Linked DNA regions of Mus musculus: regions 2, 3, 4, 5 and 6 are each reported to be linked to region 1. The links are microRNA targets in miRTarBase. Many come from high-throughput screens and were not tested one by one. Region 1 holds a microRNA gene; each other region holds the end of a gene's coding sequence.

Region 1 (3,123 bases):
AACACCCCCAGTCCCGCCTTCCAGTTGTGGAAGGCTGACTGAGGCTTTTCCCCAGGTCCCCATACAGGTTCTGCAGATATGAGCAACAAGGGTCAGGGGGAGGCAGCAATCGGGCAGGTAAGAGGGACTCCTACAAGGGTTGGCAGCCAGGCCGGTTCTCAGGATCCTCAAGGATGATGGGATGCAACCTCACACCAGACAGATGCCAGATGGCCTCAAAGGCACCGTCCAGAAGGCTTGGGGGGGGGGGACGCAGGTGCTGCATTAATAAGGTCCTCTGAGGGTCCCAGATAAGTTGCTTTAGGAAGCACGATACTTGGGACACTCGCATGTCCCTTTCAGGCTCCTACAAAGGGCACTGGGCCATCCTTCCATCTGCAGGAACCCTGGAATCCCCTGTTAGCACATGCAGAGGTGGTTCAGGCTGCCCTCAGACCAGACATAAGATATTGGATAAGCTGGGGAACCCTATGGCCCTCCTCACAGTGGAGGAGGGCCGGGCCCTGCCCCCAGCAGGCAAGGCTCACTGCTGTTTTGCACACTGGTAATTTCCCTCTAGGGAGGCTTCAGCTCCTCTGAACGCCAGGGCTATCTCTAGGGAACATCTCCCTTTTGTCACGCCCTCTGGTTCCCAGCGCCCTCTATTCTATAATCAGACTCCCCAGTTGAGCCCTCCAGGCCACCCCCACCCATCTCCTCATACACAAGTAATCTCTTGCAAGGTTACCCTTCTGGTTGTCATATTTCAGGTTGCAAGAGAGCCAGAGTTTTCACCTGCCTCTCAAAAGTCCCCTCTGAGGCATAGTGCCCACATTTGCTATGGGAAAGGAGCCCACTCAGGCTAGACTGGGTACAAAGGGGTTTGCTTGTTTGTTTGTTTCTTGTCTTGCCGTTGAGGGTTTCTCACGGAGATAGGAGACAACTTCCAGACTAAGTGTGTGCCTGGTGAGTAAGACTCCAGCAATGCCTCTTTGTGGACATTCCCTAGTTCTCCATGCCAGCCCCTCTGACTCCACATTCAATCAGACTTGCACACTGCCAAGGGCTGTGGAACCTCTGAGAAGGCATGGCTTCTCTCTGAGGCCGAAGACCCAACTGCAAAACAAACAAACAAACAAAACCAAACACATTAACACACACACACACACACACACACACACACACACACACACACACACACACACACACACAAAACCCTACACTGTTCACCCTACAAGGCGAATGCAAAAGTTAAACTTGACAGCGCCATCAGTGAAAGGTCTAGAGGCTTCCTCCTGCTGCCTTGGCCCAGTCTGTGGCACCCCGGAAAAGAAGACACTGGTGTTCCTTGGGCCAGCTGGCCAGAACTTGAATGCATTATGACAGCCTTCTGGTCCTCAGGGGCTCAAGTTTGATTCCAATCGCTCTCCTTTTCCTTTAACACTGTCCTTACTGCACTGGAAGGGAACCCTTAAGGGCTCGGTGACTAAGAGGGCAGGGCGCCTGCAGGTGCGGAGCAGACAGGGCCCTTTGGACTGCGGGCAAGGTCCCTGGTACATGGCACAAGGACCCAGGACCCAGGACTGGGCTCGCCCCGCCCCCTCCGAGCGCCGAGAGGCCCAGGTCTGGGAAGCAGAAACTCGCCGCAGCCCCCCCACCCAGTTTCACTTTCTCTTTGTTCCCTCCTTCCCCTCCCACGGAGTTCTCTTTGAAGAGAGTCCGCGGTGCGGGCGTGTCCGTTCCCGCCCCCGCGCCGCCCGTGGGGCTCGGTGCGTGCCCCGCCGGCGTGGCCCCTTGGCGAGCATTGCAAAGCCGGCTCTCGGGCTTCCAGCGGGCGCGGCCCCTGCGTCGACCCCGGCCAGGTGCGCCAAGCTGGGCGCCGGGTGCGGCCGGTGACTCAGGGCCACCCCCGCGCGAGCACGCGGAGCAGCTCCCGGGGCCTCGGGCCGACCCGCCGCGCGACCCGCGGGCCTGGAAAAACCGGTCAGGCCAGCGCGGCTGGCGCGTTCCGGCGCCGAGCGGGGCGACCTAGACGCATAAAAGGCGCAGGCACGCCGGCTGCCGCCGCACAGAGTGCAGCCCGGCCACGCGGGCCGGGTCGCAGGAGGGCGCTGAGCTGTGGCTCCGGAGCTCCGGGCTGTGCAGAACTTCTGTGTGCAGGCGCGCCTGGTCCAGTGGTTCTTGACAGTTCAACAGTTCTGTAGCACAATTGTGAAATGTTTAGGACCACTAGACCCGGCGCGCACGGCGGCGACGACAGCAGCGACGGGGCGGCCCCGACGGCCAAGGTCGGCTTGAGAGGGGCGCGGGGGTGGGGTGGGGGCACCCGGATCGCCGAGACTCGTGCAGTCCCGCAGCCTGGCAGGAGTGCAGAGCGACGACCCGGGACGCACGCTGGCCCTGGACCTGCACAGCAGCCTGCACTTTCGCCCACACTGCTGACACGTGCGCCTCACCTTCATTCTCTCCTGATCCACCCTTGTCCAAAGCCACCGAACCTCTGGCAGGAGCCGGCCGCCTGACCTCTGGGTCAAGGGGCATTCTTTGCTCCAGCGTGAGAGTGGCCACTGGGGCTGAGGCTGCCGAGCCCTTGGTAGTCATCTTGTTGAGCTGAGAATTCTTCTGCGGGAGCTCTCCCTTTTCCAGGCTGGGGTAGTGATCCTGTGAGTGTGTGCTGTATGAATGGACAGCTTCTAGGGCCAGACACGGGCTGGAAGAGTGGTAGTGGGGACAGGCCCAGTCCTGATGCAGAGTTGAGCCAGGGTGATCTTTTGGGGCCTCAGGCTCAGCTGTTGGATGAGTGCACCCATGGGAGAGGTCTGAGTGAAACTGTAAGTGGCTCTGAGCAAAGTCTGCTTGACTTGGCATTTCCACCTCCAGGTGGTCAGGCCCTGTCAGATGGGGTTGTGTGGAAAGAAATGGATGCCTGGACCCTTAAACCGACAACATAGCAACATCGGGAAAGAGGGCCTCCTCCTATCCCAGCTTCCTTGGCCCAAATATGGGAGCCACTGGACAGCCTAGACTGAATTTGAGGCGGGTCAGAGCATTTCCCACTGGATGAGTCCCTGTGTCCTGATGGCACGTTGGAGAGGTACCCATCCTTTGCATGTGTGCATGCCAGGCAAGTACAGGAGACGGCCA
Region 2 (3,000 bases), not on the chromosome of region 1:
GTCACCTCAATTGAGCTGGGCGTTCTGGGCTTAATGACGTTGTGGAATGTCGACATGGATTGCATTTCTATCTTGTGCCTTATCTACACTTTAAATTTTGCCATTGACCACTGTGCACCACTGCTTTATACATTTGTATTAGCAACTGAGCACACCAGAACACAGTGTATAAAAAGCTCCCTGCAAGAGCATGGGACAGCCATTTTGCAAAACATTACTTCTTTTCTTATTGGGTTGCTCCCCCTCCTCTTTGTGCCTTCAAACCTGACCTTCACACTGTTCAAATGCTTGCTGCTGACCGGGGGTTGCACGCTTCTGCACTGTTTTGTTATCTTACCTGTGTTCCTAACCTTTTTTCCTCCTTCCAAAAAGCACCACAAGAAAAAGAAACGGGCCAAACGAAAGGAGAGAGAGGAAATTGAATGCATAGAAATCCAAGAGAACCCTGATCACGTCACCACAGTCTGAGGGTGGAGACTTTTTCTTTTCCAGTATTGCACAATGATGCAGGGCTAGTAAGGCTCAGACCTCAGCTGCTTGGGCTGGCCAGGGGTAAAAAGGCAGGTCAGATCAAGAGTGCATTTTTCATGACGCATCCAAGGGTCTGCTTCTTTTGATGGAAGAGATAATAAAAGGAGGTGAAGTTCTTTACAACCTTGTGCTCCATGAGAGATAATTCTCCAGACATTGATCTTAGAGCTTTTCTGAGAAATGGATGGATTGGTGTGGTCAGATGGAAGGCCGAAAGATCTAAAGATTCTTAGAAGAAATGGAGAAGAGAGAATAGGTGGTCTCCAGATAGGGGAAAGTACAAAAAGAAATGTCTAATTTGTCATGTCACTTCATGTTTTCATGAACAGATCAATCAAAGGAAACCTATGCACATGGGAAGTACACATTTAATCCTGTATAAACCAAAGGACCGGACCTCCCAATCCACTTTGTGTGTACATATAAGTATACATATACATAATATGTCTTGAGTGTGTGTTGGTGGTTGGATGAAAGAAGATGTTCATTTGCAGATAGGCTGGCCTTTCTCAAAAAGTCAAATCAACATTAGTCAAATATATAACCTCATTAGGGATGATACAAAATATATAATTGGTCACTTGAAATCAACTCAACTGTCTAAATAGCAAGAGAATTATCAACTGTGTGATAACAAGATAGACAGAAATTTGAATCCATTAAATTCTACCTATCATGTTGTTGGTCACTGAGATCCTACGTTTGGGATGACTTCACCAAAACTCCAAAAGGTATTTGAGTTAATTAGCATGTGAACAAACGTTTAGAATCTAAAGTAGTTGAGATAGCTTGTCATTAGCTTTTAACATTTCTGTGTATTTGGAAGGCCAGCATGGCTACTTTTGGATATCTCATCCACCTGAAAAAAATGAGCCCTTTAAGCACATTGTTTTTGCATGCATATGTAAGGGTACACAGTGTAAGTGAGAGATGGAAAGAAATGATGAGATACCATTTCGTAGTTAAGAGCTCTTAAGTTAAATGGTGAAAATACACTGTTGTGGCACAGGTGGCAATTAACACAGGAAAAAGAAAATGTCTGGAAAATGTAGCGAGTAAAATGAGCCATCTACCATTCACCATCTCGGCATCAAACAGCCTGTTGTTTAAGAAAAACTTGCCAACTCTACAGACTCTAATGTGTTCCTTGGAATAAGTCTGGGAGCATTAACCAAGACCATGATCACTATGATGGTGGTCACCATAACCCCTGCAGCATCATTTTGTAGCTTCTTGGAGTATCATTGTCTTCATTAACTAGAAAGTAATCTCCTATGGCAAGCACAGCTCTCTACTGGTGCCATATTAACTGTGTGTAATTGCACCTGGAGTCCTTACATTAAAAAAAGAAAGAAAGAAAGAAAAAGTATTGAGGTAAATGTTTTGGGTTTTTTTGGTTTTGTTTGTTTGTTCGTTTGTTTGTTTGAGTTAGTGTTGAAAACTATGCCCCAGGCAAGTACTCAGTCTGCTGGGTGCGTTCAAGGACTAAGGCTGCTATTCATGTTGGAGAACCTTACTAGAAAATTCCTTTTCCATGCCAAATAAGGAACCTAAGGGATGATTCATTTCTGGGTAAAATAAAACAAATGCCTAATGATTACACATCCTGCTAAGAAGCTCTTTTTCCTGAGGAACATTTACATTTCCTACCAATTTGGGTTGTAGAATTTAAATGCATTAACAATACTATTGGCTTTAAAAAACAAAACACAACTAAAACTCTTAGAAAATTCCATTCCTTTTAAGTTTTAGGAAATAATGCTGATAGACAGTACTGCTCTTCTAAATGATGCAAATTTTTAAATGGACATCATTTAAATGAAACTTCAGTTTATTGAATGACATTTGTTCTATTCTACTTTAAAACTGCTGTGTTTCAATGTCTCCCCTGATGTGGATACAATAGCTATAGAATTAAGGAGGGACCATAACTTCCCATAACCGCACTTGATATTTTCACTGTATCTGTAAAGCCATGTCACAGGTAACGCCAGCCTTTCATTGCAAGAACTTTTGTCCTAGGGGGAACAGACATTTGGACAGTTGACCTCCAGGCCATGATCTCATATTTGAAGTCGAATTTTCTAAGCAGTTTTTGCAGTTGGAGAACAGAATTCCTCTTTCAAAGTTACTCATCGTTTATGAAAATTTCTATCACTCCCACCTGCTTGTAAAGACAGCCACTAAGAAGCTGAGGATTCCATATCACTTCATATCTGTCCATATTCAGTGAAACTCCATTGTTTCACCAATTGTTTATTTAAAGATAACTTACTTGTGTTTTATAATTGCCATACCATTTCAGATACAAAAAAAAAAAAAAAAAAAACCCAACAACAACAAAAAGATTGACAAGCTAATTGGCAAGCTTGCAAACTGCCAAATACATGGAAGTACCGCTGCATATTATGCCAAAGCACCAGTTTCAGTCTCTCTCAAAGCACTTGGATGGGGAAAGACTTGTTTATA
Region 3 (3,123 bases), not on the chromosome of region 1:
TGTCTCCAGGTAAGCTTAGGCCTGCTTTGGTCAAAGAGAGAGTAGAGATATAGCCTTAGGATGATAGTCCAGGAATGCAAAACCAAAGCACTACAGATCTCTGAGGACGGACCTGTGTACTTCCTTATGTAGTGGATATGTATCATGGATACCTGGTTGGTGGAGAGCTGGTGTTAGCCCGTGCTTTAGGGACTGAGCCTGTCCCACCCTAGGGCCCCACGTGGTCCTAATACCACACCCTTTGGCCTTCAGGTGTCCAACAGAAGCGACTGATTCCTATTAAATACAAGGCGATGAAGAAGGACTTTCCCAGTATCCTGCGGTTCATCACTATATGCGACTATACCAACCCTTGCACCAAGTCCTGGTTCTGGACCCGCCTTGCCAAGGCTTTGTCCCTGCCCTGAAGATGACCCTGGGAGCCCTAGGTATGTCAGTCTGTCTGTGTTCTTCCGCTTGCCTCCTTTGACACTGTAGTGGGGAGCTTGTGGTCCGTCTATCCCTAGACATCTACAGTAGCCAGATGTCATCTCTCAAGTCCTTACGGAACCAGTGACTGCAAGTGACATTATGACTTGCCGGGTTGCCAGCCAGGACAGTGTTTATCAGGGCTGCATGAGTCTAAGCGAAGGACTAGTTGAGCTACATCTCAGACATCTTTGGCCTCAGGGTCTCCTCCTGAGAAACAGGATATGGAGATCAGGCAGGGAAATAGTGAGGCACTCTTCTGGCTATCCTAGGAGACCCAGTGTGGGCTGAAGGGGAGCTGAAGGAGCACACACTGGCTGTTAAGGAGCACCACAGGCTTGCCAGGACAGCTGCTTTGACCTGCCAACCTTAAACTCCCTTTCTTCCTCCCACAGGGCAGAGGGGAAGATGAGACTGATGCGGAGCCAGATTCTCTGATGCCGTCCTGTCTACATCTTTGACTCCCCTGGGCTCAACCCGTGTTCAATGATGACTGGCCTGAGCAACTAGGACTGCCTTTCCTCCCAGCCACCCATGCCTGTGCACGCACCTCAGTACACACATGCCTCCTCGCACACACAGGCATCTGCATATGTGTGTTTCCTTTGGGACAGCTCCCAAGGATAGCTGAGTGGAAGAGTTCTATCATCAAGGGGGCCTGGCCATCTCCCTGGACAAAAGTGGGGTGCCTTTGCTACAGGTAGTGGCACGGGCCTATAGTTTCAGCATTTGGGAGGTAGAGGCAGGAGAATCAGGAGTTCAAGCTTATCCTTGGCAACACACCTAGTTTAAGGTCAGCCTGGGCTACATGAGAGCCTACCTCCCCCATCCCCTACCCCCAGAAAAGAAGGAAAATCTGGGGGCACTGTGGATTTCTCCTCTCTTTTCTCTACCTGTTGAAAGCAAAGTCTAGGAAGGCCCCAAACATGATAGCATTTGGGCCCTTAGTAAGCTGAAGATAAAAAGGAGAAGCTGTTTGGCTTCGCCCCACAAAGCAGCTGCAGGCTCAGCTGTTTTCTCCCCAGCAGCGAGGTTTGCATCTTCTTATTCCTTTCACGTTCTCTACCATAGAGGCAATGTCATGGTCCCTCTCAGGGTACACCCCAGGGCCCTGAGTCCCCAAGAAAGTGAGTCTCCCCTCAGTGTCTGGGGGAGGAATGAGGCCTCTGTGCACGGTCTCATGGGGCATTTCACTGCTTGATGTTGAGCATTTTAAAGCAACCTGGGTCAAGTGTAAACCTCCTCCACCTGTGTTAGAGGTTTCATGGGAATGTCAATAAAGAAAAGAAGGGCTCGTGTTTGTACTTTGTACTTCTGTGTGTGAATTTATAATAAAAAGTATTCTATTTTGAGAAAGTGTACTTGTGACTGACGGTATGTGTGTTAAGGTGTTTGGAAGCAGAGAGGTAGGCTATGAGTTTCTAGTATAAGAGAAAGTGCTCTATAATGTGGTGCCCCCTAGGGCTTCTAGATGGCTGAGCCTTGGGCTTCCAGATGGCTGAGTCTTGGCCTCACGGGCTTGGGCTTCAGCGGGGACCAGATGGAGCTAAAGGTATCGTCATCAGCTCCAGAAACCTGCTCCTACCCAGCAGCCTGAGTCTTTTTTAGCTTAAACTATGTCCTGGCCCTGGTATGTAGTCTCAGGGATTGAACCCAGGATCCATGTTAGGCAAAGTATGTCTTCTGAGCTGCATTCTCAGACTACCATCTGTCCCTTGATTATGGAGTCACACCAGCCATTGGATGACCAAGTGCTATCTATACACACAATGCTGATGCTACATTTGTAGTCTTCAGATTGAAGGAGATTGTGTGAGGAGTGTAAGAACTCGGATCACCTTTCCAACTTCCTCGGGATCTGTAATTATCTCAAGGAAGAGAGTTTTTAAGCCAGGTAAGGTAGTGTGCCTGTGGTTCTACCTACCTGTGAGACTGAGGCAGGAGGACTGTTTGAGCCCTACAGTTTAGGAAACAGGGAATTCTGCCAAAAAAAAAAAAGTTTTAAAAATTGTTTTGTTTTGTTTTGTTTTTGAGGTAAGGTCTCTACTATGTAAGTCTGGCTGTCCCAGAACTTTCTATGTAGAGCAGATTGGCTTTAAACTCACAGAGCTCTGCCTACCTCTGCCTCCTGAGTGTTGGAATTAAAGATGTATGTGTCACCACACGCAGTACTTTAATTTTTAAAGGAACACTTCTTGTTTCTGCATCTCTGAAAGTTCATGTATTTCCAACCACCCCTGCATTTCAGAAACTTGCTTTTTTGAGGATCTGTTTGTTCCCTGGGGCCAGGCCAAGGCAGAATATAGAAACTAATCATGCTCTGATCTAAAGGAAACTAGACAGCAGTAGAAGAAGCAAGATACAAATGCAGAAAGTCAGAACCACCCAGGAACCAGGCAGTGGAGCCTTGGGCAGCAGGTATGCTGGCTGGACCAAAGGCACGCATCCTCCATGTCCTGAAGATGGGGCTCTGAGAGGTGGTGAAGGAGACAAGGTAAACCCTATGCTGGGAGACATACTAAAGGAAAAGATCTGATCGAGAGGCATGCCTAGGATGGAGACTAGAACAGTCAGATGAGACCTGTGGGGCTCAGGGGAGATGACCGCAGCCATAGCGTGCAGGCTGCAGCGGGGCCCTGGCTTCCATGTGGGCAG
Region 4 (3,123 bases), not on the chromosome of region 1:
GGTGTAGTAGTTGTGTGCATATGCCACACACGGTCTGTGGGGCTCAGCAGATTTCCTACCTTGTGAGTCCAACGTCTGGAACTCAGGTCAGGCCTGGCAGGAGCCCTCTACCTACCTGCTGGTCCCCTGCCCATCAGTCTTTACCAGTCCCCTGCCCCCAACTAACTCATTTCACTTTATTATTCTAAGCTGTGTATAGATGCTTATGTCCACACAAGACAGGTGAGTCCAGGTGTTGTATTCTCTGGTGTGACATACAGCTGTGAACCATGCGCTATGAATGCTGGGATGGAACCCGGGTCCTCTTCTGCCAAGCCCTCTTCAGCCACTTCCATATGAACCATCTATTTTATGTGTGCACTCATAAAACAACACACCAGCTGTTTCCATTATGTGGACTCGGGTACCAACTCAAGTCCTCAGCACCCCCTCAGTGAGCCATCTATCCACCAGTCCCTTCTGTGTTCTAAGAATTTTTTGTTTTTTTTCTGTATAGCCCTGGCAGAATTCACATTGTAGATCAGGCTGGCCTCGAACTCAGAAATTAGCCTGCCTCTGTCTCCCAAGTCGGTCTCTGGGATTAAAGCATGTGCCACCACTGCCTGGCCCAAGATGTTTTTATTCTGTTCCACAAGTCCCTGAGTGGGTGTGTGCACCTGAGTACAGGTATCCAGGCGCCATCTCCCCTGGAGCTCAAGTGTTAGAGGTTCCAAGCCACTTGGCTTGAGTGCTGGGAACTGAGTCCCCTGGAAGATCAGCAGGAGCTTTTAAACCACTGAGCCACCTGTCTGCGCATGGGTGTGCTGGCTAGTTTTTACTTCACGTCAACTTGACAGCATCAAGGGTCACCTGCGAGAAAAACCTCAATTGAGAAAATGCTCCCATAAGATCAGGCTGCAGGCAAGCCAGTTATACATTTTCTGATTGCTGTAGGAGGCTCAGCCTGCGTGCTGTGTGGTGCCACCCTGGGCTCAGAGGCAGGCTGATTTCTGAGTTCGAGGCCAGCCTGGTCTACAATGTCAAACCCTACTGTTAACATAGCTGCTCTCTACAACTCGCACCTGCTGGTGTGCAGACGTCGCACACTGAGCTACACCCCGTCCCTTGGTGCACTTTGCTTTCTTCCTCACAAACGCTGTTGAGGGTCTTTTACTGTCTATTGTGATGTTCAGTGTGGCCCCCAAGCTAATACCCACTGGTGAATGAAGATGCCTACAGGACCATATACACTCTCTTGACTCTTGGCATGACCCATGGCAACTTCTCCCTCCTCCTCTCCCACCCCCCCCCCAAGCCTGTGAAACATGAGTTTCTTCTGTTCTGTGTGCATGGCCCTGGGGGCTGGCCAATTGGAGTTAAGAACATTCCAGATGAAACATAGTAATAACTCGGGGTTATTGGTAGGAAAGTAGATTCTCACAGCACAGAAGGTAGGCAGCTGCCCAGCTTTTGTGCTGCTTAAGGTTCAATAAAAATGTAAAGGCTGTGTGTTTTGTATGCTGGAACTCAGCAACCCAGGCCTAAACAGCAAACCAACAGGTCAGAGTCACACTTGAACTTCATATTCCCAGGGAAGAGTCTAGAAGCTCACAGGACAGGGCAGACGTTGGCAAGGATGGATGGGCAAGCCAACAACACCCCCAAAGAAGTGACTTTCCTCGTCAGGAAGCTGTCCCTTTGGGTCCCAGCAGATCCCCTACTCTGGCCAACCAGTCCTTGGCAGCAGTGCAGCAAGCTGCTGGCGGGCAGTGGGTGGAACCACAGAGAGCTACAAGCAGGGCGCAAGGACACAGTCGCCCTTCCTGCAATCAGTGGTAGCCATGGTGACAGCAGGAGCTCGGGCTTGTGAAACACTGAAGAATAGTCGGCACACCGCCAATTGTCAACCATCTTTTATTAGCCTGGTCAGGCAGGCCACGGCTCTAACCAGCTGGACTCACGGAATCCAGCTTGTAAACTCAGTGAAGATTGTCTTTCAGAAAAGCATGAAAAAGAAATTACTGTACCTGCCTACCTTGTAAAAAAAAATAACGTTCTCCAGTGTTGCAGAAAGACAACTTGTGTGAACTCAGCCCCTAAGAAACAGCACCTTGGAGTTAGATCCCCAGCACCACACACACCAAGCGCGGCAGTCTGCTGTCTGCAGAGAGGAGGAAACAACTCCACCGCCACCAGGAAACCCACCCACCCTCACTTAAAAACAAATCTATCCCATTCCTGCTTCGCTCAACTTCGGAGCCTGCAAAGGCAAAGGCAAGACGCAGGGTGGAGAGCGGCCACTGTGAACCCAGGGAGAACCCCGCCCCCTTTGTGATCAGGAAGCTCATTCAGTTGTAAGCCAGACTTCTCAGGACTCACCAACACCCAAGGGTTCCTTTCCAGACAAAAGGGCCTTTTGAAGCACACACACACACACACACACACACACACACACACACACACACACACACTTTGAAATCTCTAACTCTAAAGGATAAAGCGGACAGCAGCAGGCACCAAACTGCTGGTCCAAAGGTGCAGATCTTTCCTCCCACCCCAGAGCAGCACACGGGACCGAGGGTGTGTCCGCTGGTCTGAGAAGTAGGTGTGTCTCAACAGCCACCTGGCCGGGCCTGGAGAGTTCAAACCTAGTGCCAGGCAAGAGGTTCTGCCTGCCAGAGCTGCAGTTTCTGTGTCCTGGTTGGCTCATGATGGTCCTATAGAGATCTATCCGTGTCATTTCTCCACTCACACAAGGAACTTAGAACTTAACCAGCAAAAGCTGCGGCGGCAGCTGAAAGCACCGCTGTGGACAGATGCGGCCTGTGGGCGGGTGGGCGGGTCACAGCTCCTTCCAGTTGATGGGCTTCTTGCCAGACTTCTGGAGCAGTTCATTGGCTTTAGAAAAATGTCTGCATCCCAGGAACCCTCTGTGCACCGACAGCGGGGAGGGGTGAGCTGTCTGCAGGACATGGTGACGCTTCTGTAAAAGGTCAGAGTGTAAAGCGGTCACCACACCTCCAGCCAGCCCTGAACTCCCCGCCCCGCCCACCTAAGGTGTGTGTATGCCCAGAATTCACAAAACCCAGTGCTCACATCACACTGGGGGAGTGCTCTCCCCCTCAAAGCCAGAGATGTGTGTGA
Region 5 (3,123 bases), not on the chromosome of region 1:
AAACCTCTCCAAGCCTTCTTAACACTACTGGATCTGGTTCTAATTGCTTCCTGTCCCAGGGGCCAACAACTGGGTCGAAGCAGGTAGTCCCCAGAATCAATACGTGTTCCGTTACGTAGAAAGAGAGCTGTTCACATGCTAATCTGCACCCCTTGTTCTTCCCAAGCCACGTGACACAGACCACGTCCTGGATCCACCCCGTGATGAGCGCCCTGAACCTGTCCTGTGCAGAGGAGAGTGAAGAGGACTGTCCCAGAGAGCTAACAGACCCGAAAAGCTGATGGGTTTCCATGGGAAATGGAGCAGCAGAGTCCTCTGGCTTCTCAGTCCATGTCCACAACCAGACACAAGCCACCACACCCCGAGACACAGGAATCCAGCACGTGCACCAGGCAGGGTGTCAAGTCGCAAGTGTGGTATTTTCGTGTACATGTTAAAGATCAGTTGCCACTACAGTAGTTTTTTTGGAAATAATCTAGTTGCATTTATTGAAGTCATTTATAGTCAGATTTTACATGCATAAACCTCTTTATAATTAGATCTTTATAACTCAGTATGTTAGCTCATTGTTTGGTATGAGATACAATGGTTTGTATATCAACACTTCATATTGAAAAGTTATACGAACATAGCAAACTCCTTTTTATAACTCTCCCTCCCAACCCACAGCTTAGGAAAAATGTTCTGAGAAAGCGAGGGGAGGCTGCCTCACAGCTGTCCCACTAGCTGCTGACTACAACTTGTACCAAATAGGACACCACCTAACTTATATTATTAGGAGACATCTATCATTTATAAAGTGCTTTCAAGCCGGGCAGTGGTGGTGCACGCCTTTAATCCCAGCACTTGGGAGGTAGAGGCAGGCGGATTTCTGAGTTCGAGGCCAGCCTGGCCTACAAAGTGAGTTCCAGGACAGCCAGGGCTACACAGAGAAACCCTGTCTCGAAAAAAAAAAAAAAAAAAATGCTTTCAAACCTCACCTTACTTAAACCAAACAGCATAGATTTTGAGCTGATCTACAGGGCAGTTCTACTCATGGCTTCAGCTGGAGAAACAGTGGTTCAGAGAGACAGAGCAGCCCATCCCAGGGATGAGACTCACACCTTATCTTCTGATTCCGTGTCCAGGCGCCTTTGCCCTGCTCCCTACTGTCCCCACAGAGGGAGATTGCAGCCCAGCAGAGTATCTACAGTCTGTTGATGCAGCTGGGTCCACAGCTGTGCATTCCACAGCAGTCCAGAGGACACCTCAGAGTCATGACCCACTCTCTTCCTTCTGCGGCCCCAACCCCACCACCACCACCACCACCACCACCCTTAGATACCAAGCAGGACACTGCTCTGTGACTTTTCAGTGGGCTTTGTATTTTCTAGACTAGAGACACTGGCTCATGGCCATGCTTAGGTGCCATGAGCCAGTAGGAGCATCTAAAGAGAGCTGACAGGAGAAAGGTATTTGTTTAAACACTGCTGGAGCGCTTGTAAAAGGATGGAGGCCAGGAGCCAAGCAAAGCAGCGCAGCATCACTTAGGCAAGCATAGAGCTCCCAAGAACACGGTGCAAGAACCTTCACTCAGGGCCACTTTATAAGTAAGTCACGGAGTTCCTGCAGTGGAGCAGCACCTGTGTCAGCATCAGACCCTAGCTCCTTACATTCTCTGCTGAGTTTTACCTGGTATAGGGAATGCATATGGAAAATACACATGGGCATCGTGCTCACCCATACCTCTCTGAATACATTTAAGATGTAGGGTTTAAGCTGAATGCACTTAGGATTCATGTTTTCCTTCATGAGGAAGAACATAAAGTCAAATACAGACTGACAAGGAGACTCGAACCCTAACAACGACAGAATGGCTGGAGCAAACGTATGCCTCTCCTCACAGCTGTCTGGATCTTAGGATGCTTCGAGAAGCGGGGTAGGGGTAGGTGGCTTTGAGAGCAGCTGCAGAAGGACCTGTTTCAAGTCCCAAAGAGGTGTGAACAGGCACTCACACGCTTTTATAAGACCGTCTCTGCTGTGACACCAGCACACTCCTGTTAGGAGATCATTCTCCTGCCTCGCATTGGAGAGTGTCCTCAATTGTTTGTAAGGGAAGCTGAGATGGGCTCCTGAAGCATGCAGTCTTTAATCTGTATGTGTGCATGTGTGTGTGGCACTCACAACCTCTCTGCTGCTAGTATCAAGTCCCTCCCTATTTCTACCAAATACATAATCAAAAAGATCTATAAAAACACATAGCTCTATGTACTGAGCACTCTATACCATACATTTCGGTATACAATGAACATCTTTTGGGAGGTCTTTTTGGGATAGCCACTCTCTGTGTATACCACCCTGGCCTTGAGTTCACAATCCCCCTGCCTCAACCTCCCAAGTACTGGTATTTCAGCAACAAGTACCTTCTTGAAGGTACCCAAAGTGATTCCAATTTTATGAAAAAGCTGAGGTTTAGAAAGAAGTGGTCCCAAGGATCCCACCATGCCTTTGTGTTGATGCTGGATCTGAGGCAAGTCTTAGACCCCAGGGCTTCCTTAAACCAGGGTGTAGAGCCTCCTGGATTTAGTCAGCCCTGCAGGACTCCAGCTTTCAGTCACGAAGAACTTCCCGATTTGTAAGAAAGGAATTCTCCAGGAGAAAATAGCATTCCATCAGGTTCCTGTGTAACTGAGCATCTCATGTGAATGCAGCTAAGGAGGTTGAGCCTCTGAATTAGCTGAATCAGGCGAACACTCATTGAGAACTATTCTTTAGTCCCTATGTCCTCACCCATGTGTTCCCTTGGGATGCTCAGTAGCTACCAGCGGTGTGACCAGCACTCTGGTCACCAGGGCAAAGCAGAGCTACAGCTAACCATTTCAAAATAAAAATGATCTTGAAAGTCAGAATTTGTTAACTTCTAAATTTTAAAAATAGTTTCTTTTCCTTTCAAAAACGAGATCAAAGTTCTGTAGAAATAAGTCGAGTTAGATAAATAGCCCGTCTAACTTTCTGGAAGCTGCCGTCACCAATATTTCAGTAACTATTTCCCCTCGAGGGTAAGCCTGCCACCCTTAAACAGCTCCCCCTTGAATTGGTATGTTGTGGTCATCTTTTCATGGTGATATACGCATTCTGTTGCAT
Region 6 (3,123 bases), not on the chromosome of region 1:
AAGCAGTGTCATGCCTGTTCCCTTAGCTATAAAACGGGAGATGATAATGGGACTTACTCCATAAAGTTCCCAGTGAAGATCAAATGAGCCAATATTTTGAGAGGGCTTAGAACACTCCCTAGCACAGGTGTTGGCTAAACTACCAGGGATTCTATTTCACGCTCTCTTGTTTGTAATACTTTTTATTTGTGGTCATTATTTCTCAATCTCGAGGCATTAACAATGGCCATGCCGTAGATATTCTAACCCCAATGCACCTCTGAAGTAATGCCCAGCTAGAAGCAGGTGTGTGCTTTAATGTACTGGGGGTTGAACCTAAGGCCTCAGGGCGTTCTGGCCAAACCTTCCGAGCTACACCCCTAAGCTCTGACTAATGGCTTATAAATCCTTCAAATCAAAGGCACCCAGCTTTTCCACAAGCCCAACCACAAATGGCTATATCTACTCATTTTATTTTTTTTTTGAGAAAATTAATTGCACAGAAAACAATACAGCAAAGATTTGAAACTAATCGGTAACTTTATTAATAATAATAACAGTGTCTACCCACTTGAAAATGCACATGCAGTGAATGGATTTATTCGATCTATGACAATGTTTGGAACTCTCTTTTGGATCCACAAAGCTCCTGCAATCAGCTCCAATAACCCTTACCACAAAGCAGAATTGAGAAAGCAATCAGACCATCAAGAATCTTCACCAACAAAATCAAGACTTCAAAGGAAAAACTCAGTATGCTACACTCCCCACAAAAGAAAACCAAGGCCGTTGTCTTCAGGTAGGAGACAAGAGTGGATGGTATTGGTGCAGGGGTTGGCCTACGGACCTCCCTATTTAGCTTCTACTACCTTCACTATTCGCTCCATAACCTACCTATCCTGTAGACCCTCTGAAATGTAAATGATTGGGACAATTGTAAATTGGAAGTTCATCTTAGTAGAGGATAGAAAAATTAAGAATGGGGATGGTGGCAGTAAAATGTCTCTCTCCCAAAGGCCAATGCTCCATTTAATACAAACCCAAGAGCTTCCTCTAAATTGTCAAAATTAAGGGAACTATTACGGCCAGTCCCTAGTAAACACACACACACACTCGAACACAAACACATGGCTTACTGGAGTTCAATGGCTGGGGTTCAATGGCTGTCACCCAACGGAAGGTCCAATAATCCAGTAGTTGTTCAGTCCACAAGGCTGGGTGTCTCAGCCGGTCTTCAGTGTATGGCAGAATCCCAAGTAAGTAGGGCTCTAATGCCAGTTCAGGAACAGACTTGCCATCTCCAGCAAGCAGGCAAAGAACAAGCTTCCTTCTTCCATGTCCTTAATAGAAGCTGCCAGCTGGCGTGGCCCAGATTAAAGGTGGGAAAGAACCAGATTAAAAATGGTTCTTCTCATTTCAAATTATGGAACTAAGAAAAAATAAATCCCTCACAGGTGCACCCAGCTGCTTGGGCTAAGAACCAAGAACAGCTACCACAGTAACGATAACTAAAGACAAATTTGGGAAAAAAATCCCCAAAACATTTCCTTTCCAACGTGTCTTCACATACATCAAATGGACAAGGCCTCTGCCACCCCCGCCTTAATATAAAAATTAATTCAATAAGTAATTTTAAAAAGCAGTGATATAGGCCCCTTGGTCTTGCAAACTTTATATGCCTCAGTACAAGGGAACACCAGGGCCAAGAATGGGTGGGTAGGGGAGTGTTGTGGGGAGGGTAAGGGGGACTTTGGGATAGCTTTTGAAATGTAAATGAAAATACCTAATAAAAATATATTTTAAAAAAAGCAGTGGTATAAAAATGAATTCAATAAGTAATTTTAAAAGTAGCATCTGCTGTGGTTGAGGCACTGGTGGGCTCTGGAGGTATAAAACTGTCAGACCCAGCTTGATCAGCAACAGTGTAAATAAGAAAGCAAAGGGAACTTGAGACAACTTCTCCTGGAGACACGACAGGAGGGAAAAAGCTAATTCCTGCGTGTGTGGATTCGAAAGATCGCTTCATGAGCCCAGAGAAGCAGCAGTAGCCTGCGGTAATCTGGCACTGCAGAGGTTAAAGCAAAGAATTAAAAGGAAAAACAAAAACAGAACAAAACAAACCAAGCAAGCCTCGAACAGGGATTTTAAAGCCTGATAGAGAACCATAACCGACTTCTACCAAATCGGCAGCAACGTGGAACATTCGTGTTTGTAAATCAGTAAATTAGAGGGACACCACCCTAAGTACCCCGTAACCGCTGGTGCCCAGGACACAAGTAAAGGGACAGAGCGGTTTCAGTTGTAGATGGCTGGTACCCAGCATTCGCCGACACAGTCTTAGCTGTGTCCTGGAGCCCTCTATTCGCCAGGGTAAGGAAACCATCTCACTTTAAGTCGACAAGTAAATGGTACCCCAAAAGCCTAGAACACGGAAACCGGGCCCAGAGACCCACCTCCATTATCCTAGTCTAAAAAGAACTCCAAGAAGCTAAGTAGGGTGCAGCAAACTGCAAACAGATACCCACAGGGGAACTCAAAACCACAAAGGCTTAAAACTTCTGAAGTGTACCCTTTTCAAGACCCTTGGAGTAACTTTGGAATAGGAACTAGAAACTAATGCAAGTGGCAAAGCTCTCTTCTGATTTGAGCGGGTGACTCACTAAAAGAGACTTTAAAAGATCAAAGGGGCCAGCGAGCGCCTCATCCAGGGAGGCCTCTACTTGGCGCTGGTGTACTTGGTGACGGCCTTGGTGCCCTCCGACACGGCGTGCTTGGCCAGTTCTCCGGGCAGTAGAAGGCGCACCGACGTCTGGATCTCCCGCGATGTGATTGTAGACCGCTTGTTGTAATGCGCCAGGCGAGAAGCCTCGTTTGCTATGCGCTCAAAGATGTCATTGACAAACGAGTTCATGATGCCCATGGCCTTGGACGAGATGCCGGTGTCCGGGTGCACCTGCTTCAGCACTTTGTACACATAGATGGAGTAGCTCTCCTTGCGGCTGCGCTTGCGCTTCTTGCCATCTTTCTTTTGCGCCTTGGTGACAGCCTTCTTGGAACCCTTCTTGGGAGCCGGGGCAGATTTGGCCAGTTCAGGCATGATTAAAAGCAAACAGTGGAAAACAGTCTAGTAAGTAGAAAATCAAC

The links. The annotated mature microRNA mmu-miR-203-3p reads GUGAAAUGUUUAGGACCACUAG and lies in region 1 at 2,191-2,212, shown strand. An mRNA with a match to its seed (bases 2 to 7 or 8) in the 3' UTR can be bound and repressed. Matches are read on the target gene's strand: a 7mer-m8 pairs with bases 2 to 8, a 7mer-A1 pairs with bases 2 to 7 and ends in A, and an 8mer does both.
Region 2: the mRNA of Ptchd4 is a reported target of mmu-miR-203-3p. Seed matches in the 3' UTR shown: 7mer-m8 at 2,829-2,835.
Region 3: miRTarBase lists Myd88 as a target of mmu-miR-203-3p. Seed matches in the 3' UTR shown: 7mer-m8 at 1,655-1,661.
Region 4: miRTarBase lists Ung as a target of mmu-miR-203-3p. Seed matches in the 3' UTR shown: 7mer-A1 at 2,452-2,458.
Region 5: miRTarBase lists Stxbp4 as a target of mmu-miR-203-3p. Seed matches in the 3' UTR shown: 8mer at 2,855-2,862.
Region 6: miRTarBase lists H2bc21 as a target of mmu-miR-203-3p. Seed matches in the 3' UTR shown: 8mer at 1,742-1,749 and 7mer-m8 at 891-897.

What each region holds. Positions count from the first base shown.
Region 1 is chr12:112,128,737-112,131,859 of GRCm38, forward strand. It overlaps Mir203 (microRNA 203), which reads left to right and starts at 2,144; the gene lies at 2,144-2,219. Gm51289 (predicted gene, 51289) reads right to left here and starts at 2,210; the gene lies at 2,151-2,210.
Region 2 is chr17:42,503,448-42,506,447 of GRCm38, forward strand. Ptchd4 (patched domain containing 4) reads left to right here. Exons shown (of 3, transcript NM_001355270.1): 3 at 1-3,000. The coding sequence ends at 468. Among named protein-coding and RNA genes, the nearest start is that of Opn5, 110 kb to the right of the region's middle.
Region 3 is chr9:119,334,640-119,337,762 of GRCm38, reverse strand. It overlaps Myd88 (myeloid differentiation primary response gene 88), which reads left to right. Exons shown (of 6, transcript NM_010851.3): 4 at 1-9; 5 at 253-428; 6 at 864-1,829. The coding sequence ends at 407. Among named protein-coding and RNA genes, the nearest start is that of Myd88, 3.8 kb to the left of the region's middle.
Region 4 is chr5:114,138,075-114,141,197 of GRCm38, reverse strand. It overlaps Ung (uracil DNA glycosylase), which reads right to left. Exons shown (of 6, transcript NM_011677.2): 6 at 1,877-2,962. The coding sequence ends at 2,822. Among named protein-coding and RNA genes, the nearest start is that of Ung, 8.5 kb to the right of the region's middle.
Region 5 is chr11:90,477,758-90,480,880 of GRCm38, reverse strand. Stxbp4 (syntaxin binding protein 4) reads left to right here. Exons shown (of 18, transcript NM_011505.2): 18 at 167-3,123. The coding sequence ends at 281. Among named protein-coding and RNA genes, the nearest start is that of Gm34850, 6.4 kb to the right of the region's middle.
Region 6 is chr3:96,221,119-96,224,241 of GRCm38, reverse strand. It overlaps H2bc21 (H2B clustered histone 21), which reads right to left. Exons shown (of 1, transcript NM_178214.4): 1 at 504-3,123. The coding sequence starts at 3,076. The coding sequence ends at 2,696. Among named protein-coding and RNA genes, the nearest start is that of H2bc21, 1.6 kb to the right of the region's middle.